Astyanax mexicanus: one gene and its partners. The protein of the gene in region 3 interacts with the protein of the main gene of each other region in a biochemical or structural test. Links are inferred from orthologs where the notes say so. Each region holds a gene or a part of one and is shown on either strand. Other genes may lie near its edges. The genes, in order: bola1, bola3 and glrx5.

The links.
Region 1: the proteins of glrx5 (region 3) and bola1 form a complex in vitro, tested with the Homo sapiens proteins (2 studies listed by BioGRID). The link is inferred for Astyanax mexicanus from reciprocal best matches to the Homo sapiens genes GLRX5 and BOLA1.
Region 2: the proteins of glrx5 (region 3) and bola3 form a complex in vitro, tested with the Homo sapiens proteins (4 studies listed by BioGRID and IntAct, with this or other methods). The link is inferred for Astyanax mexicanus from reciprocal best matches to the Homo sapiens genes GLRX5 and BOLA3.

What each region holds. Positions count from the first base shown.
Region 1 is NC_064408.1:115,497,512-115,506,029, reverse strand, and holds the start of bola1 (bolA-like protein 1), read right to left. Parts: upstream 3,329-8,518; 5' UTR 3,250-3,328; intron 283-3,249; 5' UTR 260-282; coding exon 1-259. UniProt on the Homo sapiens protein: Acts as a mitochondrial iron-sulfur (Fe-S) cluster assembly factor that facilitates (Fe-S) cluster insertion into a subset of mitochondrial proteins. Probably acts together with the monothiol glutaredoxin GLRX5. May protect cells against oxidative stress.
Region 2 is NC_064423.1:34,726,978-34,735,215, forward strand, and holds the start of bola3 (bolA-like protein 3), read left to right. Parts: upstream 1-4,298; 5' UTR 4,299-4,385; coding exon 4,386-4,415; intron 4,416-5,723; coding exon 5,724-5,853; intron 5,854-5,985; coding exon 5,986-6,074; intron 6,075-7,762; coding exon 7,763-7,828; 3' UTR 7,829-8,238. Other genes in the region: bco1 (beta,beta-carotene 15,15'-dioxygenase), read left to right, coding at 1,030-1,184. UniProt on the Homo sapiens protein: Acts as a mitochondrial iron-sulfur (Fe-S) cluster assembly factor that facilitates (Fe-S) cluster insertion into a subset of mitochondrial proteins. Probably acts together with NFU1.
Region 3 is NC_064408.1:87,802,170-87,811,028, reverse strand, and holds the start of glrx5 (glutaredoxin-related protein 5, mitochondrial), read left to right. Parts: upstream 1-4,834; 5' UTR 4,835-4,964; coding exon 4,965-5,253; intron 5,254-8,859.

The DNA of each region.
Region 1 (8,518 bases), about 28 Mb from region 3:
GGCGCTGCAGCAGAGAAAGGCCATCAAAGCACGGGCTGACCACCAGAACCCTGAAGTGGGACTCTGAGCCCGGGGGGACGGCGTGCATGTGGCTCTCGTTCAGCACCTCCAGGTGCTTCGGCTGGAGAGCCTGAGTCAGCTTGGTCCGAATGGCCGACTCCACGGGCCGAGTGCCACCGGGCTCCATGCTCGGCCCAAAACGAGATAACTGTCTCGATAAGGCGAAGGTGAGAGAGGCGGAGCGAACGCTGGACAACATCAGCAGGTCAGGAGTGACCAGGCCTGTGGAGATCATAAATAAATACAGCAGTTCTATTTAAATATACCAAAAATTTATTTAAAAAGCACATCTACCTTAAAATACACTACATGGGACAAAAGTAATGGGAAATCAAGAGTATTAAAGGAGAAATCCGGTGTTAAACAGACTTGAGTTAGTCTACCTTCATTCACCCCCGGAATTTCAAAATACAGCACTTTTAACTGATGCTCCCAACAGGCTTTAAATACTAGAAATAGGGGCATAGAATAACCCATCTTTTTTTGTTACACCATTAACTACAAGCTCAAAATAGCGCCACACTTCATTGGTAGAATTCTGAGGCCTGACCTTTAAAACAAGGCACTGAAAACTTTAAACTTTGAGTATTTTAATGGTACAGACAGGGCAGCAAATAGAGGTTTATCTGCTCTTATTAAAACAGCAAAAAGTCCTGCAGTCCACTTTCTTTCTGCTCTACTTTAGGACTATATCAGTTATTTCATAATCATAACACCGATTATTATAAAATTATTCTAACAATATTTCTGTTTTATTCTAAAACTAGACTTTAAGACAAATACATGCAGAAAAAAATCATCACCTGGATTTAAGTAAGTAAATGATGTGGGGTTGATGCTGCAGTTGGTCTGCAGCTTTAGGTTCAGCAACAGTATGTGCTGAAAGAATGAGGTCAGCTGACTACCTGAATATACTGAATATAGACCAGGTTATTCCATCAATGCATTTTATATTTCTTCCCTCATGGCACGGACATATTACAAGATGACAATGCGAGGATTAATGGGGCTGGAATTGTGAAAGAGTGGTCGCATGCAGTCATCTGTAACTGTGCCAGCCTTAATTTATAGAATTAGAGCGTGTATTTCCTCTTGAATCCTGTTGCGAAAGACATTTTCTCTGGTTTAAAGTACAGCTGAGTGCTCGCTTCTGATTGGGTCAGCCCTGCCCCAATTTTAGTAGTGGGTTCTGATTGGACAGTTATTACATTTCATTTTGGAACGAATACCATGCTGCTCCTAGACGTAATGCAATCCTGTGAATTAGAGGTGTGCCATATTGTATCATACGCAATAATATCGCCAACATTTTTAAAGATCGTGAACGATATTATACCCTGAAATATCGTGCCATATCACCCACCCCTAATTATCTCATCAGGGTACTACTTTTTTTGCTGTTTTTAGCAAAAGAAAAATTAACACTGTTCTCATTTCCTATTATATATCTACTAGAGACAAATTATATCTGTCCAGTATCATTATTAGCATTATTAGTATCTAGTGTTGGGAAGTAAGGGATTACATGTAATGGCGTTACGTAATCAGATTACCAATTATGAGTAACTGTAATCCGTTACAGTTACTGCTTCAGTAAGTGGTAATCAGATTACCGTTACTCTGCTAAAATAAATGGATTACATTGCGGTACTTTCCTATTTTTGGTCTTCCAATCCAACACTGACAAAACGCAATCACATTCACATAAATCACGACTTCAGAGTATTCTATGATTCACAACCTCCTGGTTGTGCTAGTCTGCGCAATGGAGCCTGACGACGAGAGCCTGCCATGCCCTGGCATGGAAATCGACTCGGCGGACATTTTGAATAATTACAAACAAATAAATATTGTTTTTGCTGTGAAATCGCTCTGATATGACAGGGAACACTCCTCCCTATGTGTGTGTGCAGCGGTGTCTGTGTGAGCCAAGGCAGCGAGACGGGAAGAGAGGCAGACAGCGGCTCCGCACACACATCTTCATATATTTCTGGTTATAAAGCAGTCAAGGAAATGGTTATGTGATAATCCTGGCAAAGAAACCACCTGCAGAAAGTGGCAAACCTGCAAATAGATAGCTTACAGTTGTTGGTACATTGTTTGGTTTTTAATAGTTTTTAATGGTTTTATCATCAATTTATAGAAGTGTTTCATAAAATTGTTTGATGAAATGGTTTTATAAGTATGTTTATAGGGTGATTGAAAAGGCTGTTTTATTTATTTATCTATTTGTTAACTGGAAATAAAAATTAAAAAAACAATATGCAATATGTGGTTGCTACATTCATTCAGGCTTAAAAAAACGACAATATTTAAAGTAATCCAAAGTAATCAGATTACGTTACTCACTTGAAGTAATGTAACTGATTACGTTACAAATTACATTTTGAGGGATGTAATCAGTAATCTGTAAGGGATTACATTTTAAAAGTAACCTTCCCAACACTGTTAGTATCATGACATTGTGGATCACTGACCAATTCTTGTACTTTTTTAATATCTCAGTTAGGGGTGTGTCGTATCATATTGTATGCAATAATAGAATTTATTTTCATTTTCTTGCAGTAGTGTATTCTTGAAATAATTATTTTAAATCAGTGTTCTGTCATATCGCCATGAGTATCGATAGGGTGAAAATACCATGAAATATCGTGATATTATTTTAGGCCCATATCGCCCAAACCTATTGTGCATTGTGAATTTGCGTTTGAACATTCGCAGCAGTGCAACATAGTGGAATACAATGGAGTAGAGTTTGTGTGCAATTCTGACACAAATTCAGCGTTTGATTTTGAAAATGTAAATTTTTACGCATTGTTTTTCTATAAAAATATCAAGTGCAGTGAGATGTAATGTAACAGCGGATTTACGTTTAATTTTGTTGCATGTTCTGCATGTTGGTGCAGAAAAGCAGTGCAGCTTGTGGATTGTATTTACATTTTACACTGTAGTGTTTACTTTTTAAATTGGCACCAATTCCTCTCCATAGTATCACAGATTAAACAGTTAACACACAGACTCAGGTAGGATTCTGCTGTTATTTAATAGCTTAAGTCAGTCAGGCTCCCTGTAACAAATTCCCCCCACAGTACTGGGTTCACATTGAGGTATTAGTTAAACCCCACTCCCCAGTATCTCAGGAAAACGTTTAAAATTGTAATTATCATGTTTTATTGAGTTTTTTCTCACCTCACTTTTATTCAGCGTCCTCTGTTCTCTCAGCTCTTCTTCTCTGTAGAGGAAACTGATCTAAACACACTGCAGCGCCCCTGCTGGTCAGGCGGAGAACTTTGAAGTACAAATAAATAAATGTACATATAAATAAATAAATACATATTTATATACATAAATACACCCAAGAATAATTTTATAGATAAACAAAAAAAATAATACATTATTTTTGTTATGGGCATTCCACAGAATCGGTGGCATTTCTGTCCCCAGGAAATTACATATATAAATGTGCATACAAAATAACTTTAAAATACATTTTATTTTTAAGCATAGTGTCTTGTACATTAACCCAATTGCAAAAGTAAGATATGGTATTAAAACATTAATAAAAAAAAAGACTTAGAACACTTAAAAAATAGCATTTGCTACCTGTCCCCACTCTCTACCTATAAACTTTACCATGAAATATAATTATTGAAATCCTTCAGAGATGTAGTTTTTTTTGCATTGTTCTGTGACTCCAAATCTCATCTATGCTCTAAAAATATTTTTTTCATAATAAATCCATGATTTTTAAGTTAAAATACACATTTTAGTTGTGTCTCTGGTTTTCACTCAGTCCTGTTATCGTAAAACACATTACCCCCTCTGAATCATCTAGATCATTCTACAAGTCTCATCTACAACAGGAAGTGACAACAGATGGTTCTTCTGAAGATCATGGGAAGATCAAACTTAAGTTCCATCATTAGTTTTTCTGTATGTTTATTTTTATTGTAACTATGACTGCAGAGCTCAATCTCAACACTCTCTCCTGTTACCTAAATTAATTCTTAAATCTTATTTGTTTATTTTTAAAACACAAATTATGGGAAAATCACTAGAATGAGCTCAGTGTCCTCATGCTGTAAGCATAGCTGCCATTTAGCTATTTTTCATGTTTTTGTTAATTCTATGCTAAAAACCCATTACTGTTACTCAAAACATAAAAAGTAACAGGAGTTCCAGTGACCGGAACGAGTGTTTTTTTTTTTTTTTTGTCATAAATATAAATTATTTTAGCATGCCGTCAATCATTTATTTAAAATAAAGACTTTCTTGAGAGAAAATTAAAGGAATTTGTGGACTTGCTTTTAAACATGCTTTTTATGTGTGACATGAGTTTTGTAGCCATCTTTGGCTTAGAAACCTTGTAAAATTTTAAGTAAAGCTGCCTGAGTTTGACCAGAACATGTTTTGAATAGTTAAATATGTTATTAGATTCAGATTTGAAAAAAGATTTTTAAAATAATACGTTTAATTTGGAAGAGTTACAACAAGAAACTGGCGCCCATTCGTTGGAATATATATTTCTGCATATATTTATTTATGTATTTCAATATATATATTTTTTTCATTTATTTATTTCAACATTTCTACCTTTTTTATTTATTTCCACATTTATTCATGTATTTATTTATTTCCACAATTTTTCATGTATTGTATTAATGCCACTATAATGCTATTATAATGTGCATTATTTTATCTAAGAGAGATTTATAAGCTAAGAAGAGCTGGAGCCCCCACCCTAATCATGAGCACCGTCTACTGGGGGGCCATTGAGTGCCATCCTGTTTTATCATGTGGTATATGCCCTGCACAGCATCTAGCTATATATTTTCTGATTTGGGGTTGTACATTTAAATAGTTATTTTGGGTGAAGAATAGGATGGGCTAGACTTATTGAACTCAGCCACCTTAGACTTAAATCAGCTGCCAGTAATTAAGCCAATTGGAAACTTTTCCATTGTGTCAATAACTACAAAGCCAGTGGTTTGATCTTCATGACATTTGTTTATTATCCATATGTAGGTTTTCATCATTTCGCTGAAGAACAGGGTTGGTTCACTGCACAGGTGCAGCGCAGGTCCCAGCATGACTCGGAAAATGAGAAGTCTCTCACGAACCTTTAATACAGAACCATTTTGGTGTAACATTGAAATAGTCTTCATGTTCAATGATAATGTCAACGTCGTTACGCCATTGTCATTCTCATGTACAAAAAAGAAACGGATCACAAAAATGAACAACATACAATAGTACTCTAGTTCTTGTGTTCAACGGTTTTTGTCTTTTTCACTTTTTTATTGTTCCACATATTTATACTTTTACATACAAACAACTACAATCTCTACAGCACAGTACAATGATAAGGTGATAAACTCTGTCACATTGAAATCATGGCGATACATTGTAATCGACAAAAGCATCAAAAGACCTATGGGATATTTGTAGAATCACTGACATTGGCCTTTCAGATATTAATTTATTTATATATGTATATATATGTATATTTATATATTTATATTTCTCTCTATATATATTGTTTTCTTTAAATCACTACACATCTCATTGCATGTGGCCTGTTCGTTTTTCAGTGTGCTTTTACTTTTCCCAATAGAATGGGGGGAGGGAGGGTGCGGGGGCTGGAGGGGGCGGAGCAAAGAAACCTGTCAGTCACTTTTATTGCTTTGATTTCTTTTTGCGCACACGATTGACTGCTAATCATCGAAATACGAAACAAAAAACAAGAAACAAAAACGAGAAATCTGAACAATCATTAAAACACCCAGTAACAATCCAAACAGGTGAAGTTCACAAATTTCAGGACTGCTATTTTATTTACGTACAAATAATCCACAGCTTCACTGAGATCGTTTACTGTAGATCAGCGTGTTCACAGCGTACGACAGCGATATTGACATCCTTGTCTGTAGTTCAATGAACGGACCAAAGACAACACGGAGGAGACGTGACGCCTAAGATTTACATGCTGTACAACCGCGGATGGAAACAGGTATCGGCAGAGACTCCGCCTGACTGACTTGGCAGTGATAGCCTGCTGAGGAATGGCAAACTTGAGAAATGATGCGGGATGTGCTTTTTCATATGTAACCTTAAAATAATGTTGAACTGGATCTGATTCCCTGATAAATAAAAAATAATAAATAAACGGTGCTACACAAAGTGCCTAAATGGAACTTTGCAAATATAAGCTTTTTATAAGCTTACGCTTTCAAATGCACATGAGTAGTGCTGTCACAATTACTCAGATTAGAACTTAATTTTGTTCATTTTATAAATGCATTAAACATTATGCCATATTAAACATTTAATTTGCTAGTATTTCCCACGCCCTTAGATGGAAAATAAAAAAGGGGCTCAGAGGTTTTGGGCAGGAGTTTGGGGCAGCTTTGCAGGGCTGTAAAGCTGAAGCCCCGCCCACGAGAAGAGATACAGGAAATGGCAAGAGTAAAGGGAAGAAGGAGGAAGATGGGGAGGAGGTGGGTGTGAAGTTGTTGGACACGCAGGGAGAGAGGAATTGAGGGTTTATATAGGGTGGGGAATAAGAGGAGCAAGGGCGTGGATCAGTCTCCCAAAATTAAGTTATATTCATAACTCCACTTAACTATTAAATTCCTTAAAATACTTTTTAAACATGTTGGGCCATGTGTTATTCAACTTATATACAAGGTATCAGGCTTGTGTATAAACCTGTTTCTGTAACAACTGACAATTTCTTCTGTACTGGACTAATTGTAATTTTTGTAGTTAAATTTTATACTACAACCACATGTTTTAATAAATGGTTAATTTATCCAACATAATTTAATTTCCATTAAGATTAAACTTAAGGTAAAGTCAGTTATCAATATTAACAATATATAAAAGAATATATATGAACTGCAATTTTTAAATGCAGTGCAAAGTGTATTAATAATATGTTTTGTACATTGTTTAGGGCAAAAAACATGATTAAATCAAGATAACTGCAAGGTTATTAAATTATAAATGACAGTGACAGCACTAAACACTTTAATAGTGCCATCCTCTGCCATCCTAGTGCCAACCTTTTTTTTGCAAAGCTCTATTTAGGAGACTCTGTAGGGTATAAAACGTGAGTTTGTTGCTCTGTTTCGTTTGTAACTGAGTAGATCATTGTGCAACTCTGGTTTGGGTCCTATATGAGTGGCAGCTCTCTAGTTTTTTGCTCCTGCTCAGATTGTCACTGATGGTTTGTTTCTGACCTTATAGTGAAAAAGTAAAAGGCAGGTTCTTGAGTGATTTGTACTGGGATCCCTTAATTAAAGTCTGATTTGCTTAAGTTGTTTTTGCTGGAGCACAGAGAAGCCTGACTGGCCTGACTGTGGGACGCTGAGTTTAGGCTGTGGCTGATTGTGTGCTTAGAATCCATCACAGAACTACTTTGGTAACAAATCGTCATTTTTCTACACTGCAAATAATAATATTTTGGTAAGAGAGATTATCTAAAGTCTTGTCAAAAAGATACACAGATAGATTTCAGAAAATCTTTAATTTGCCAACGCTGGCTGAGGGTCATATTACCCATCCATGTGAGATCAAAGCCATTTGTGCTGTCTGGAACTTATGGATGGCTGTGGCATCACTGGGGAGCACTTAGATAGTTGCGCCATGTAAAGGATGTTTTTTTTTTATTATTATGAGATTGGTTTTAGATATTTTTATTGCTTTAAGACATTGCTCTACTGGTAATACATAGAGTAGTATGTATGAGTCGTTTTACAAATTAGGAGGCCAGTGATTCAAATATTCAAATATATGTTCAACATGGCATCTGTTCACAGACAACATCCAGCCATTTAACAAAATAGCCAATCAACTTTCAACTTGATGTGGTAATTTTTTTTTTTTACAATATGTCATAAAGCAGAAATTTGACCTACAGCGTCTAGTATTTTGATCTCTTTTTGTTTAAAGAAATGAAATCCTGTTCTTTTTTCACCAGAAATAACTGACTGGCCTTTTTGCAAAATAGCCACCAAATTAAAAGACTTTCCTCTAAGGACCATAAGCTTGTATTTGTTACTTGGCCCATTCAAGCACTATATTCTACCGGTCAAATTTAAGCAAAAAAAAAAAACTAAAAACATTTACAAAGGAGCTGAGAAATCTTAGAATATCTTATTGACAATCTCATAATCAGTTGATACCAGCCAGAAGATATCCTCATTTTTTTCTACTTTCATTTTTTGCAGTGTATTTTAATTTAATGCAAGGAACACCAAACTCCAGTGTCCTTTTTTTTAGTCTGAGTGCGTCCAGAATATGGCTGCTATCCTACAAAATGGCAGTAAAGAAGAGTGACACCTCTGCATTTTCTTTGTGATTAGCACTATCTGCAAACAGAAGCATCTAAGACTGGAAACCTGCTCTTTATTTTTTGCTAGACGTATCTGTGTAATTAACGGAAGGCAGTCATCAG
Region 2 (8,238 bases), on a different chromosome or scaffold from region 3:
CTTTTCACGTTAGGTTTCCGGGCAGATTCACCTCAGCTGAGTGATATATCTCACATATTGACATATTCAACTTTTTTTTATAAAATATATAACAACATTGACCTTACAGTAATACAACATATTGGCATTAGCAAATATAAACATACTTTGGCATCGGCCAAGAATTTACATTGGTGCATCCCTTAGTTTAAATGTAAAAATTGGTGTCAGACAGTGGTTCATTTTATTATTAGTTTATTATCAGTTTATTATTAACTTTTCTTTTAGTCAGATTTGAAAAATAATTCACTTTAAACAATCGTAAAATAGCCTTGTTTATCACAAAATATTTAAATATGTTTTGATTACTAACCCCTGTTTTGTGCAAAGGTGTAAAAAATACTAAGATGGTTTTAAAACTACTTCAATTATAAAAGTAAAAGTAATGTAAGGAGAAAAATGTTATTGTTGAAAAATGTTAATGTTGATCAGTTTGGGATGCACTACGTTGTTCCCTGTTTCAGCTGCATATATGAATGTATTTTAGTAGAATATAAATATATTAAAGTTTAAGCCACAGGCTTTTGCCCAGTCACAGGCTTCTGCCCATTCACAGGCTTCTGCCCAGTCACAGGCTTTTGTCCAGTCACAGGCTTCTGCTTATTCACACAGGCTTCTGCTGCCCAGTCACAGGCTTCTGCCCAGTCACAGGCTTTTGCCCAGTCACAGGCTTCTGCCCATTCACAGGCTTCTGCCCAGTCACAGGCTTTTGTCCAGCCACAGGCTTCTGCTTATTCACAGGCTTCTGCTCAGTCACAGGCTTCTGCCCATTCACAGGTTTCTGCCCTGGGTTGGAGTTTGTTTGTAGTTCTCTTGAGTCTCTGCAGGATCATCTTCATACTAGGCTACATACGTCTGTTATGTTTGTGCTGGAATGTGTTTGTGTGTGTGTGGGGGGGGGGGCAGTATAAACCAATAGGGTGTGAGAATGATATATGTTTTTACTTCGTATCCAACCACAACCTGGATTTATCTTCTCTCCATATTCAGGTGTAATTCTAACATCAGTTATAAACAGCAACCCGGGTCAGTCTGACTTTCTCCTGGTGCTTGATGGGAAGTCCTTTAAAGAACTGGCGAGAGTACACGTGGAGGCAGAGCTGCACTTAGACATGCACGGATTCTTCATCTCACAGAGCGACTAAACCTCAGACCTGAAGGAGGAGCTGCTGTCTGTGGAAGACTTGACCGCTTAAATGGGACGAGACCAAAAACTCTGATATACTGTTTACAGTTTACAGCAACCCTAAAACCCCTGTGGCCACATCTGCAGGAGACTGACCAGTTAACACTTATGTTGCTGTTTCATTGTATTTTCATATTTAGCCTTTTTTTTACGCTCTTTAGACAAAATTATTGGGACCTTTGTTTATTATCTTATTTCTTCTAAAATCTAAAAAAAAGACTGGTTTGAGATGTGATTAATGCAAGGTGACACAAAATCAAGTGCAAGAAAATAATGCATGTGATTGATATTTTATCCAGCAAAACTAACTATCTGATATTTTATATTTTACCTCTAAATTAATTCATAATTCATAATTAATTCATGTCATTTTATGTACTGTACAAAATGTGTAAATTAGAAATGTTGAGGTGTGTGTGTGTGTGTGTTTGTGTGTGTGTTTGTGTGTGTATGGTGTCCCAAAAAGAGAAATATAAGATTTCTCTTTTTTTTTAAGTAATCTATGTGTTTAAATCAAAATGCAAATTTGTATTTGTAAGAAAATAATACATACATTTTGATTTTGTGCTTGTGTGTCCATTCCCCACCATTATACTAACTTTAAAATAAACAGTTTTATAGTAACATACTGTGAAGAATAAACAGTTACACACTCCGTCCTTACCCTGGTGTTCTATCAGACCAGGAAAAGAGAGAAAAATAAACCTATTCACTCAAATCTTTAATACCTACCTCACAACATGCAGGGACAGAATAACAGTCAAATAATACCCTGAAGCCATGCGTTATCAAGACAACATCAATCTTACAATCTTGGTGTATTGGGTTTAGAGCAGGGGCTTTTGGAGGACAAACGCTTTTTTTACTGTTTACTACGTAATTCCATATGTGTTCCTTAATTGTTTTCATGTCTTTAATAATATTCTATAATGTAGAAAATCAATTGAATATAGAAATAAAGAAAATATTGATTGAGAAGGTGTGTCCAAACTTCAGACTGGTACTGTATGTACAGTGAGTCCAAGAAGTATTTGATCCCTTGCTGATTTTCTTTGTTTGCCCACTAATAAAGACACTATCCTTCTGCACTTTTAATGGTAGATATATTCTAACATGGAGAGACAGAATATCAAGACAAAAATCCAGAATATAATTTTAAAGAATATATTTTAATTAATTTGTATTTCAATGAGGAAAATAAGTATTTGATCCCTCTTGCCAAACACACTCAGTACTTAGTGGCAAAGCCTTTGTTTGCAAGCACAGCGGTGAGACGTTTGTTGTAGTTAACCACAAGTTTAGCACACACACCAGGGGGAATTTTGGCCCACTCTTCTTTGCAGATCCTCTCTAAATCATGAAGGTTGGTGGGCTGTCGCTTGGCAACTCTGACCTTCAGCTCCCTCCATAGATTTTCGATCGGATTGAGGTCTGGCGACTGGCTGGGCCACTCCATGACCTTAATGTGATTTTTCTTGAGCCAATCCTTTGTTGCCTTTGCTGTATGTTTAGGGTCGTTATCATGTTGGAAGACCCAACCACGGCCCATTTTCAGATCCCTGGCAGAGGGGAGGAGGTTGTCCCTCAGGATTGTGCGGTACATGGCTCCATCCATCTTCCCAGTGATGCGGTGAAGTAGCCCTGTACCCTTGGCAGAGAAACACCCCCAAAACATTATGCTTCCACCTCCATGCTTGACGGTGGGCACAGTGTTCTTGGGGTCATAGGCAGCATTTTTCTTCCTCCACACATGGCGGGTGGAGTTGAGGCCAAAAAGTTCAATTTTGGTCTCGTCTGACCACAAAACCTTCTCCCAATAACTTGGTTCATCTTTCAAATGATCATTGGCATACTTGAGGCGCGCCTCCACATGTGCTCTCTTCAGCAGGGGTACCTTTCGGGCACTGCAGGATGTGAATTCATTGTTGCGCAAAGTGTTGCCATTTGTTTCCTTGCAAACTGTGGTCCCAGCTGCCTTCAGGTCATTTGCTAACTCGTGCCGAGTGGTTGCAGGACGATTTCTGACCGTTCTCAGCATCATTGCCACCCCACGAGGCGAAATCTTCTTTGGAGCACCGGGCCGAGGTCTGTTGATTGTCATGTTATACTCTTTAAACTTTCTGATAATTGCACCAATAGTTGTTACTTTCACATCCAACACCTTACTAATCTTTTTGTAGCCCATTCCAGCTTTGTGAAGGTCAACAATTCTGACTCTGAGGTCCTGTGACAGCTCTTTGGTTTTACCCATGTTGGAGACTTGAAATCTGTGTGATCTGTCTGATTCTGTGGACAGGTGTTTTTCACACAAGTGATTAGTGAGAACAGGTGGCTTCAGGTCAGGTAACAAGTTGATTGGGAGTGTCTAACTGGTCTGTAAAAGCCAGAACTGCTAATGAATACTAAGGGATCAAATACTTATTTCACTCCATGAAATACAAATCAATTAATATATATTCCTTAGATTTATTTTCTGGATTTTCTTTTTAATATTCTGTCTCTCCATGTAAGAATACATCTACCATTAAAAGTATAGAATGATCATGTCTTTATTAGTGGGCCAACGAAGAAAATCAACAAGGGATCAAATACTTCTTGGACTCACTGTATATAGATGCTTATGTATATTTATATTTGTTACTACTCACTGCACCACCAGTGTAAATAACACCTTATACATATATCTGTATGTCTAATCTATCTGTAGAAAAAAATGACTTAAAACTCATTTTTAACATTCACAGTTGTCTAGTTTTTCATTGCTGCCCCTCACAATTTGAATTTCCGGACAATTTATTTAAATAATAATCTTTATTAAATTTTTTGATAACAAAAGTAGGTTTTCGATTAGATCTTTGTTACAAGATGAAAAAAAAGCTGAAAATCTGGAAGAAACTATAAAATATTTTATTCCAGGTTATTTGGGTCCGTTCATATCAAAATTAGGAGTCAATATAAAAAATAATTTATGTAAAAATGTGAAAGAAAAACAGTTGATCGTAAATCCGGCAGGGGGCGCCAAAACACAGCTGAGGAAGAAAAGGGGGGGGGGGGAGTGCTGGATTGCGTAGTATTTGTGCGACTCCGAGCGCGAGGACATGACTTCTTCCAGCGGGCTGTAAAGAAACCGGTTCAGTGATTAATCCGGATTATTCACGCCATGCCGCTCCGCAGCCTGATCACAAAAAGAGTAACTAATACTGCTCAGCTTCTGTCTGTCTAACTGTCTATCTATCTGTCTATCTCTCTAACCCTATGTGTTTATCTGTCTGGTGTTCAGTTTACATTTCCATATCTATCTGTCTGTCTGTCTAACCCTATGTGTCTATCTGTCTTGTCTGTAGTTGTATTTGCATATCCATATCTGACTGTCTAACTGCCCAACTGTCTAACTGTCTCTCTAACTAACCCTGTGTCTATTTACACATTCATATCTGCTAGTCTGTCTAACTATCTATCTAATCATTTGTCTGTCTGTCTGTCTGTCTATCTATCTGTAGTTTATTTTACATATCCATATCTGTCTGTCTAACTGCCCAATTGTCTGTCTAACTGTCTCTCTAACTATCCCTGTGTCTATTTACACATCCATATCTATCTATCTATCTATCTATCTATCTATCTATCTATCTATCTGTAGTTTATTTTACATATCCATATCTGTCTGTCTGTCTCTCTATCTAACCCTATGTCTCTGTCTTTCTGTAGTTCATTTTACAGACAGACACCTAGGGTTAGATAGAGAGACAGTTAGACAGACAGATATGGATATGCGATATGAGATTTTACATTTTGTCTATCTGTCTTTCTCTGTGTCTACCTTTCTGTCTGCCTGTTTATTTATATGTCTATATTTCTGTCTGTTTATTTATGTGTTTATTTGTCTAGTGTCTGTACTTGTTCTGTTTTTCTTTTCTTTCATCAAAAGAAGTTTGCTGTAAAAGTAGTGTAATGTGTGTAGACCAGGGGTGGGTAGATAAATTGATAATCTGGGATTATTTGTTTAAAGGGCCTGATCTCAATTTGTCTTAAAGTTAATTTTTATCTTCTGAAAATGCAGTAATTATCTGGTTTTGATAAACCAGATGTTACCTTACAGTACTGTGGCTATTCTTTTTTCAGTTTTATTACAATCCTTCATCTTGTTTGCTGTTTTTTGTACTCTTGATTAGTAAGATAAATTTAGTCTGTTTTGTTCTTGAAAAAGTGCAGGGAATGTCTGGTGTAGATCCTGCTGGAAAGAAAAACATCATGGCCAGCTCAAATTGGTTAAGATGGATAAACTAGTTGAGCAGCATAGGGCATTTTTGTGGTTTGATGGTTTAACCAACTATGGTAAATAGTAAAACCAACTACCAGCTTTAAGGGAATTACCTTAATCTTGAACTAGACAGCATTCTGAATGGAGATTTTTTATTGAAAGAAAAATATAGTTTAGGATTATGCTTAACTGATGTGTTATAATTAATCCACCGCTCCCCCTGTACTGCTCCTGCAGAGTCTGCTGGTACCGTTTAGACATGTCTTCAGGAGCTTCACCAGTAAAACAGATGGCGAGGACCGGATCACAAAAATACTGAAGGAGAAGTTTCCGCTCGCTTCCTCACTAAAAGTTGTGGACATTTCAGGTGAGCTATTTTACTTAGGCACTGTATCCAGGTTTTCCCCTGTTAAATATTTCCCTGCTTACTGTGGTGGTACTCCTCCGTCTTCAGCTGTTTGTCTGTTTGTCCTCTATCAGCTGTATCTGTTTGTTTCAGGGGGCTGTGGTGCAATGTATGAAATACATATTGAATCAGATGAATTCAGAGGGAAAAGAACAGTGCAGCAACACCAGTTAGTAAATCAGGTATGTCAGAAGAGAGATGTGTACCACATTTTATCATATTTCTTTTGTACTGTGCTTATAAAATTAGTTTGGGGTCATGATTCAGTAAGAGATATATCTCTAGTGACTTGTGATCAGATTATTCTACTGCTGCCCTAGGTGCATTCTGGTAGTGTTGTATTCAACACCAAGATGTTTAGTAGTTTAGATTCAGACAAGACAGAGACCAGATTAAGATATTTTTTCATCAGGTTTGTTTTCACACACAATTTTTTCAGAAAAGATTAGTTTTTTGCTGCTTTTTATTATTTTTATTGGAAAGAAATAGTCAGATAGCTCACCATGCATCCATTCTGGTATAAGAAGATGTTTCTCCATATAGGTCAGTGCAAAAGACAAGCCTTTATGGCCATGATGTCAGTACCCGCACACACGCCACAAACCTTATTACAGTACCCCCACACCAGTCCTATCACAGTTTGGCTTTAGGGAGATATGGTAACACATTACAATAAGGGTCACCAATAACAACACTTACGACAAAAATAGATATTTTAAATGGTTAATAAATGTCTAAATTAATTATTAATTGACATTAGTCAATTAATGCTCATTAAGCAATGAAATAAAAAATACTATATATTGCTAAATTTTACTGCTTAAAAGGTTTAAATAACACTGTAAATTATTTTATCACATAAATGTAACGATTAATAATGTCTTAACTAGTGTCATTTAATAATTAGCTGAGACATTTTGTCGTAAGTATTGTTAGTTAATGTACCTTTATTGTAAAGTGTTACTGGATATACGGACAGAAAGAGATATAACGCAATAAGTCGATGCATCATCATTATTTTACAAAATATACCAATCACACAAGCCCACAAGCACACATCTCAGACCACCAATTTCAGAGGATACTCTGAACCTGAATGCAGCTTTCACACGATTAAAGGTTAAAGTCTACTCTATTGATCCTGAAGGAAATGTAGGCATCCGGTAGCAGCAACAGAATAATAGAAATAATATAGATAGACTATAAATATATACAAAGGGTATACAAAAAAACATGCAGTAGATGGAGCTAGCAGCCAATAAATGATTTACAAAGCAAGAGTTCTAAAATAAAGTGAACAATAGGTGTGCTTTTACACAGTATCTATATGTACATGTACGTATGTTCACACCAAAGCTGCACAATATTGGAAACCAATTACATTACAATAGTATTTTATTCTGCAATATATATTGTGATGTGAAAATACCTGTATTTTTAATAGGAAGTTACCACAAGTCAGTAGTCCAACATGACATTATATTTAATAATGCACTCAGTTTATTAAATGTTTCTGTAAAATAAATAATAATGTCAAAAAACAAATTGAGAACAGGTAGACCTTTAATGCCAAGCAGCAAAAAAGTTTGATATAAGCGATATAAGTATATTTGCCTTCCTTGACATTGCATATTCTGTAATGTAAATATTGTGCCTGCCTACATTGCAGTACCAATGCTGACACTATAAATTGTATATTATAAATTATTACAAATTATTATTATAACTTATTATTATTTATTATTATTGTTATTTGTTATTATTATTATATATTATTATTATAACTTGTACATTATAAATTGCACTAGTGCATACCCATCCATATTTGTGGTTGAGTAAATTATGTTAATATTTTTATTTTGTTTAACAGGCACTCAAGGAAGAGATTCAAGGAATGCACGGACTGCGAATATTCACAGAGGTCCCAAGAAAGTAGAATCTACGATTGTTCACTACACACACATCCATTTTATGCTATCAGAACTGTTGCACCAGATTATTATATCTCTATGCTTCCTTCAAATATTTCTAGTAAATTATTACAGTATATTTTAGAAGTCAGGGAACAGGTAGAAGTCTTTCTAAGAGAAAATGTGGAATATACAATATTCCTATCGTATTTAGAGGGAGGAAGTCCACAGAATTTTCAAAGTTTCTGCATAATTCAACGATGGAGATGTAAACAGAGTGGTTTAGAGAGTTGGACATGAGGTTACAACAATTGTAAATTAGTGGTCAGTAGGGGTGGGCGATATGGCTCTAAAATAATATCACGATATTTCAGGGTATTTTTGCGATAACGATATACTTGGCGATATAGGAAAACTAAAATAATTCATTTATTTC
Region 3 (8,859 bases):
CATGAGTGCAAACAAATTTCGTGTCATCACATCTCTCTCTCTCTCTCTCTCTCTCTCTCTCTCTCTCTCTCTCTCTCTGCAGTCTACTTGCTGCTGTGGTGAAGCAAGATTGCCGTGTCTGTGCTGCATGCGGGACATTTACTGCCCTCTAGCGACCGGAGAGAGCATTTAATTTGTATTCATTTAAAAAAAAAATCACAACTTTTGATAGAAATGAGCTAGAAACTCGCTTCTTTTTTTGACATACTCAGAAATTTATGCCGGGCCGGATTAAATCATCCAACGGGCCTGGTCCGGCCCGCGGGCCGTATGTTTGACATGCCTGCTATAGATCATACAGATCAAACACTTTCATTGCTAATAATAAGAGCACCTTGGGGCTAATAATATAAAAGCCCAGAATCTGCTGACCTGCAGAAAATTAAAGTAGTACACCATTTCTTCCCTAATAGTAGCAAAGGGTAGTGTCCCTTCTGACTTGCTGTAGCTTAACCACTCACCATATACTGGTTAAATAGTGGTCACAAGTTCTAATGATGACTTGTGACTGTGATTACTTTAACTGTTCAGACTGTACATACACACTGGTTTTGAAATACAGTAATTATTAAAACATTTATGTACTGTCCATACCATACTGAATACACTGGACAAAATTATTCTGCATTCTTGCAGAGGGTAATTATCTTTACACATATTTTAACTCTCCATGTCATATGTAATCATGCTCATGGATTGCACAATTCACCTTGCACTTTGTTCATTTTCCTTCATTTGTTCATTTCCTGATAATTCATAATACAGTTAATTGACCCCTGTTCAAATAACATGTGCAACTGTAAGTGACATACCTTCCACAGCAATCGTTTTAAAACTGGGGACCAAAAATATAAGTTATATATCATCCAATATGTCAATAAAAAAAGATACTTTAAAGAAAATGCATTTTTCCCCAAAAAGTAAAAAAAAAAATACATTGACACATCCTGTGACTCAGCTCAGAGCCAGGAGTGTTTCAGCCCAAGATCACACAATGAAGTACAATACAGTACAGCCAAGCAAAACAGAGCTCTGCTCTTCTGCATTCGTTAGTCATAGGTAGCAACAGGAGTAATAGCAAACATCTGCTGTTTAAGGATAAGCAACACTTTTTAAGTTTTGTGGCTATGAAGACCTCTCTGCTGAGAAAGTGTAAATGCACACAACATGTGAAGTACTTTTATTTAAATAAACTGTGTTTTGTTCATTTATTAAATACTGTTTAAATGTTCAAAGCAAATGACATCCAACAAACCTCCCAGACCATGCTGCCTTTAGAAGATGCAGGAATGAATTAGCATACATTCCTTAACACAGAAAAACTACTGCTTTCAAATTAACAGTAAAAAGTAAAAATGCCTCAAACAAGAGTCGCCAACTTTACTCTGACATGTAATAGTGGGGGCAGCACACACAGCACAAATCAAGCAGTAGCTTGGGGTAATTAGTGAATATGGCCCGTTTGGAAAGGGCATATTAAACTAGTGCAGAAAAGCTTTTTCCATCTCGTTCCATTATGCTTTAGATCAGGTCACCTCTTCACAGCACAGTCAGAAGTTCTCTCTAAAAACAGACAGAAAAGATTAGGACACACATTGAACATTACCGTTAATGGCTCAAGCAGTTCAACAGTAAAGTGTGGCAATTTAAAGTGTCTGAGAGGTCAGCTCGCCCAAACAGACAATATCCCAGTGCTTATTTTCTCTGCCTGTTTTGAGATTGGTAACAGTACTGCCAGACTGTCACCGCCGTGGAAACAGGACTGAGGGTTAAAGGTGTTGAAAGAATATCGCACGAAATACCTCTCAAGTTTAAGAGGTCCCGCCTTCGGTTCTTCCATTAATCTGGGCAGTGCTAATGGGTCGTTCACCATCTACAGGAGATGACCACTGATTCCAGCACTGCCTTGTCAAAGCCAATAACAATAATATATCCAGCACAAATCACTATACAAACCGTCTTATACATACATACATACCACAATGAATACTGACACGCAATTACTCTAAGGTCCCATTTTCATATGTCCAATATGAATTGTGAATAAATTACTCATGCAAACAAATCTTGCTTATAATATACTCAATTCATAGATGGCCTCATGCTCTAATCAACAACATTTTTTACAGCACTTTAGAAATGTTTTAATGATAAGTATCAGAACAGTCACTGAACTGTAAAATCACACAGGGTTCACAAAACCTTTGCTGAGCTGCAGTTATTTCTTACAGCCACCAGATGTCGCTCTTCTCTGTGGCTCCAATGCCTAAACTCCAAAGCTTCAGAGAGGCTGCATCTGCCCATCACTAATAACTAGGGTTGTCAACATTAATGCATGCAGATCATCTGGAAACTAACATTTTTCCCCCGAAAATTAATCAACTGACATTTTTTTAGTTAGCAATATAAAAAAAAGTTTATTTAGCAATATAACACATAACACATCAGAAGGTAGCTTAACTTTTAGTTATTCTCTTATTCACACAAACACAGCTCATGACACATTGCCTTTTTCAAGGTGGAGCTCCACTATTGATTATTTTCTCTATTAAAACTTAGTATCTCAGCACATTACAACATTCTAGTTTAAAAAGTATTAAAACTAGTCAGCCAGGTTTAGAACCACACTAAAAAGAAAATTAATCAATTAACGATTTAGTCACGAAATACAGATGCACTTAATATCATTATTATTTAGGGGATTGGCTCCAATAATATAAATCTAATTCCATATAACAATTATATTGTGATTAATATGATTTGTTTTTTCGATTGACACCACTACAGACAATAACTCACGTTGTTTTGTACCTGGCTATTAATTAACAACATTTTTGTAGTTACATTTGAAACACTGCTAACTAGTAGGAACTAGGGATGCAAATGATTAATCGACTTTAGATTAATTGTCGATCAAGAGGTTGCTCGAACAAAATGTATTACTCGCGATTAATCGCTAGAGGGCGCTACTGTAGTAACTTGAACAGAGCGTGAGAACGAGAGGTGAACACGACTCGCGAGAGACCAGGGTTGAAAACAAAATGAAGCGGGCGAAAATAAGTGCGGTGTGGGACCATTTCAACAGTGTTAATTTAGGCAAAGAAGTCAAATGTTCTCTGTGTAATGCGGTATTGAAATACAACAGTTCCACTAGCTCACTCAGTTATCATTTGAACACCGTCACAGTTTCACTGAGAGCGCGAGCGTGTGATGAGAGAAGGGCGGAGGACATTACAGAGAGGATATGCAGCATGATCAAGAGAGATTTGATGCCAATCTAGACAGTTGACGGTACAGGGTTTCAGGATCTCTTTGCATTGAGGATTGTTGAGGATTTCCTAATTAATAGCCTGGATGCAGTTTCTTCATAATCTATAGGCTCAATAATAATCTGTTTGGCTCTCTATTTAATTTCTTCTATTCTTTTTTTTTTTTTTTTAATATGTCTAATGGTACAAAAACGCAAAAACTGAGCCAGTCCTTAATTTATTTCTCTTTTTAAATTAAAGAATGTATTTTCTTATACCATAAAAAGTCTGCTTTCTTTTCCTAATGCATAATTACTTGAATATATAATATAATATAATACAATATAATTATCATAATATAATATATACTTTTTGAGCTCAGTGTTTTAACTATTTAGCTGGTATTTTTAAAGGCCCTATTGAAACACTAAAATTCAGGTAAAAACGCCGCTTATCAATTAATCGAAAGTCGATCGATAAGATCAATCAACTAATGATTAACGAATTAATCGATAATTTGCATCCCTAGTAGGAACCTAGTTAGGTTAGCTAACGATAGTAAGGTTAGTTAAATAACCTACATGCCTGTTTTACAGTATAATGTATGTTTTGATTATATTAGGCTAAAACACACATATAAGCCTGATAAATAGTTAAAGAAACAACTTACCTTAAACCAGCAGGGCAGCCCTACAGCTGACATGAGTGCTAAACCTGTAAAGCTTAAAAACCTTTAAAGCTTAAAAACCTGTAAAGCTTCAAAAAACTGTACAGCTTAAAAACCTGTAAAGCTTAAAAACCTGTAAAGCTTATAAAAACCTGTAAAGCTTATAAAAACCTGTAAAGCTTATAAAAACCTGTAAAGCTTATAAAAAAAAAAACCTGTAAAGCTTATAAAAAAAATAAAAAAAAACCCTGTAAGCGCTAAACGAAAACACTGAACCAACACAGGAGACACGGCGCCTGAATTTAAGCAGCACTGCCCGGAAATACCGTCGGTGCACGTTTACAAAATAAGAGTCTCTCTTAAGTATTTTTCATTCTGGTCATTTACCGCCTACACTGCAAAGTCATTTACACGTAAGCTATATTTAGCACGGATACGAGTGATAAACATGTAAAAGTTTGGCTTCATAACATAGCAGCTTGTGTAACACCTAGTACCGTAGTTCCGGTAGCATTTGATCTGGGTCAGTCTCAAACACATATGTGCTCCCTATATAGTTAGGACACTATGTAAGAACAGTTAGAACAAATCCCAGAGCCCGTCCTTGATGTATTCTAAGAGCAGAAGTGATTTCAGCGCGCATCATATCACATGTATTACACTTGAGGGACGCCGAAGCCACACGGAAGATAATCGCATGGCGCACTTTGTAGGGAATATAGTAGCGTTTCAGACGCGCCCTCCCTGGATAGCGGCGGATTTGCTTTCCTGCGTACAAGAGCTGCGCACGATTGCGTTGAGAGACGTGCGCTTTAGCCAATCATAGAAAAGCACCAACACGCGTGCACCAATGAGCTTCTCGATGTGCTGCTTACCCGCTGGCGGGGCGGGGCTACAGAGACTTGTCTTGAAAAGTCTGGCTTGTCGTGGCGTCTCGGAGGAAGCGGTGAAGTCCAGCGAGTTTTTGGTCGTTTGTTTGTTTTGTTGGTGTTTTTTTCACCGTTTTCAGAATGAACAGTGTGTTCGGAGCGGCCGCTCGGTCTGTGCGGGCGCTGTCAGCGCTCCCCAGGTTAACTCAGCCCGGCGGCGGCGCTGCGTGCTCGCGGCTCCTGTGCTCGGCTGAGGGTCAGAAGAGCCTGGAGGAGATGGTGAAGAAGGATAAGGTGGTGGTGTTCATGAAGGGAACCCCGGCGCAGCCCATGTGCGGGTTCAGTAACGCCGTGGTGCAGATCCTCAGGATGCATGGCGTGGACAACTACGCCGCCTACAACGTGCTGGATGACCAGGACCTTAGGCAAGGTCAGTGCAGATACGACCTCCTCCAGCAGGCCGGCTCACAGCGGGCCTGTCTCACCGCCTGGAGCAGCTACAGGTGGAATAACGAACCTAATTGAGAGAGAGAGAACTGGGTCATTCTCACCTGTGTTCATTAATATAACAGTAATATAGCTAATTCAGTACACAAATAGTAGATCCAGATAGATGAGAAGTTGAATTCAGTATTATAAAATTAGTTTTTACATATTTATTTGGATCATACATTAAACGATATATTTAAATGGGTAATAATAATAATAATAATTCTGTTCTTAGTTCATTATTAATCATTGTATGATTTCATATTCAAATCATTTTATTTTACTTTTACTAATATCCTTTTTTATTTTATATTTTATACACTCTTTACTTTTTATGTGTAAAAAAAAATCTTTTTTTTGGATTAGTTTGAGATTAGCAATGTTTTTAAATGTGTTATTTATTATCATTTTTTACGTTAGTTCTAATTTCTTATCTAGATGTTTTCAGTTCCTTTTAAAGTGTAAATGCTTTACTGCATTGTAAATGTAATGTAATCCCTAGGGAAAATAATGATTGATTGATTGATTGATTGATTGATTGAAAAGATTAAAGTTTGCCATAAAGTAACCTAAGTATATATTAAAGAAAAAACATCAGAATGACTGTGTATGTTTTCAGGCCTTTGTAAAATTACTTTAAATCTTAATTAAATTAATTTATGTAGTGTAGTGTCAGGCTTTAAAAATTTAATTTGGATAATTCCAAGTACTGTTTTAATGCGATTTTCAAAATGATTTAATAGAGGTTGTACATGTTTACATATAGACCCTGTCACAGGGCATCACTCAAGCTTTAAATAGTAGATTGACTTTCGTTACTGTCAGAAACCTGTAGAGAACTCTTCTGTGGCAGATATTTTTATATTTTCCACTTTTCTTTAGGTGACATATGAGAAGGTTATTTTTGCATTTTGTTAAGTATAATGTTAAAGGGAGCTGCTTGCTATTCCTAAAAAAAGCTTTAGACAGCGTATATTCTTATTTTTGCTTCATATAAGTGTTGTGCTTGCACAGTTTTGAAATCCTGGAAAATAGCACAAATAAAAAAAACTGAACAAAGCTTATTTTTTTGTAAGAACTACAACTAGAAAACTAGTAGACAACAAATCAGGAATTACTATATTTTTTCATAACATTGCCAGCACAACAGTTGTTGCCACAAAGCAGCTTTAAACAGATCTGTGTCAAAGGCTTCTTGGAGTAAGCCAAAAGCAACACTGGCAGGGAAGATCTCTGTCTGACTGAGAGGAAGAAGCCTTGGGAGGAACCAAGACTCAGCAGGGGGAAAACAGTCCTCCTTTGGTCGATAACAGATAGACCGGATAGCACTTCCTGTGTTATGATAATTTGTGTTCCTGTAAAAAAAAAATATATTAACGCATTACTTTAAATCAGTGTTTATCTCACCCTAAATGTAATCAGTCAGCTGAGACATGCTGGTATTTTAAGCTTGTAGCCCCCCAAATAACACTGAGGCCACAAGTATAATGTAGCTTATAAAATGTGGAAGCTTACAATAAGCATATTGCTGTGAGGCTAATATAGCTAACATCAATTAAAACCTGTTTCTCATAGTATAGCCTATTTTGAGTAAAAAAAAGTTTCAGTTATACAAGCCTAGTGCCAAAAACGAAGAAAATTTGTCAGAGAAGATTGTAATGCTAATTAAGAGAGTCCTGTAGTCTGTCTTATTCATGTTCAAGGAGCTAGTGGTCTAACACATTAGCAAAAAGGCTTTCATAATTCAAGTTACCTTAAACTTTCATAAGTCTGTAACCCACACATAGTTACAGAAACTAGTTTTCCAACCCTAATCCAAGATGGTGACCCATTAACACACTAATATCACTTTAGTTCCTGATGATATTATATTGTTAACCTCTTGGTTAGTTTAATTGTCAGGTTTCTGTATTTCCCAGGATTACCACCACTGGTAAGCATGCCAGACTGTGCTAGATATAGAAGAATAGCTTGTTACACAAATCAGGCATATGTGTGCTAGAACTTGATAAAAAAAAATTGGTGGATGTTTGACCATAAGGCAAGAAGCTTTGCTTTTCAGAATAATGAAAACGCTTAAGTATTGCTGAATTCTTGATATTGGGTTCTGTTGTAGTATAGTTGGTCACATGTGATCCATGTAATGCCCATTGTGTCCTTAATGCGAGTCACACTGCTAGTTCACCAGCCCAGTCACTACTCATTGTGTCCTTCCATTCTCAGACAATTTGGGAACTAAGTGATTGGCTTTCCTGAAAAAAAAAATATTTTTAGGTTTTTAAGTTTTGTTTTCCGCACAGTTCAACTAAAGTACCTTTTAATTCTAAGAATAAGCCCAATCAACTAGATCTTCTCAGATCTAAGTAATACAGCCACATAAGACCAGATATGCTTATAGTTGAAATGCTTAGCATTGGGTGGATACATTTGTGTTACATGCCCATAACCTGGAAACATATCAGATTTGGGACCATATATGAAATGACTCTAATGCAGTTTGAGATCAGATTAAATGTGTCCACACAGCCCTGAAAAATCTTATCAGCATCACATTAAGGCCAAAAAATCTCAAATGTAGCTTAAGTGGTGTTCTTGCTTGTTTTTACAGTAAGATTATGGCTGCGTGACAAAAAAATAAATGTAGGCAGGTGTGAAAATATGTTCTTTACTTATGAACTTAAGAAAGTAGCAGTCCATGATGGATCAACTAATTATTTTTTTTAATTTTTTTTATACTGTCTGCTCTCCTCATTTTTACCTTATCTGTAGCTCATGAAGCTCATGTAAATGTACCTGAACAGGGTTAGTTTTGTTTTCCAGTTTATCTATCTGAAGCTTGGAAATGTGATCCAGGAGAAGACAAAGGCAGCGAGACTGTGGTCACTTCTTTCTGAAAAGCCCCTCAGTCCCTGCCCTGAGCTTCCATCTGCTTTCAGGATCAGTCAGGAGTGCAGTTTGAATGTGAGCGTCAGCTGCTGCTGATGGCTGAGCTTCTCCGGTGAAGGCAAACGTTAAGTGTGAGCTTTGTGCCCTCAGATTGCCTTTATCTGTCATGTGCAGCAGTGACTGGGCGTCGACTTCACAGCCCAGAGAACTAGATACTACCCCCAAAAAACTGAAGTGTGTATGTGCGCGCGTGCATGAAACCATTCTGGACAATAATGTGTCTATAGTAGATATGTTTACGGTATGTTTTCAGATACAGATCTGCCACATGGAGTCTGTCCTATGTTCCCGCTGTTTTCTAATGGTTCCTCTGCTGTACCTTTTAACCTCATCCTATAGTACAGATACAGTCTGACACTGCTGCCTGCTTTTTATCTCTTTCTTGGACCTTTACAGTGTTGTGTTTTGGGTTTATTTTTACTTTTCTTTTAGTTAGTTAGTACATATAGTCTTGCTTAAAATAGGTTATTAATTAATTAATGAGAATCTGTGTTAAAACCATCAAGGCAAATTCTATTTTTATTGCTAGTAGCAGCAGCAGAAGTAATAGTACTATAGCATGTATATTTCTTATTATGACAACCTCTTTGTTTCTACACTC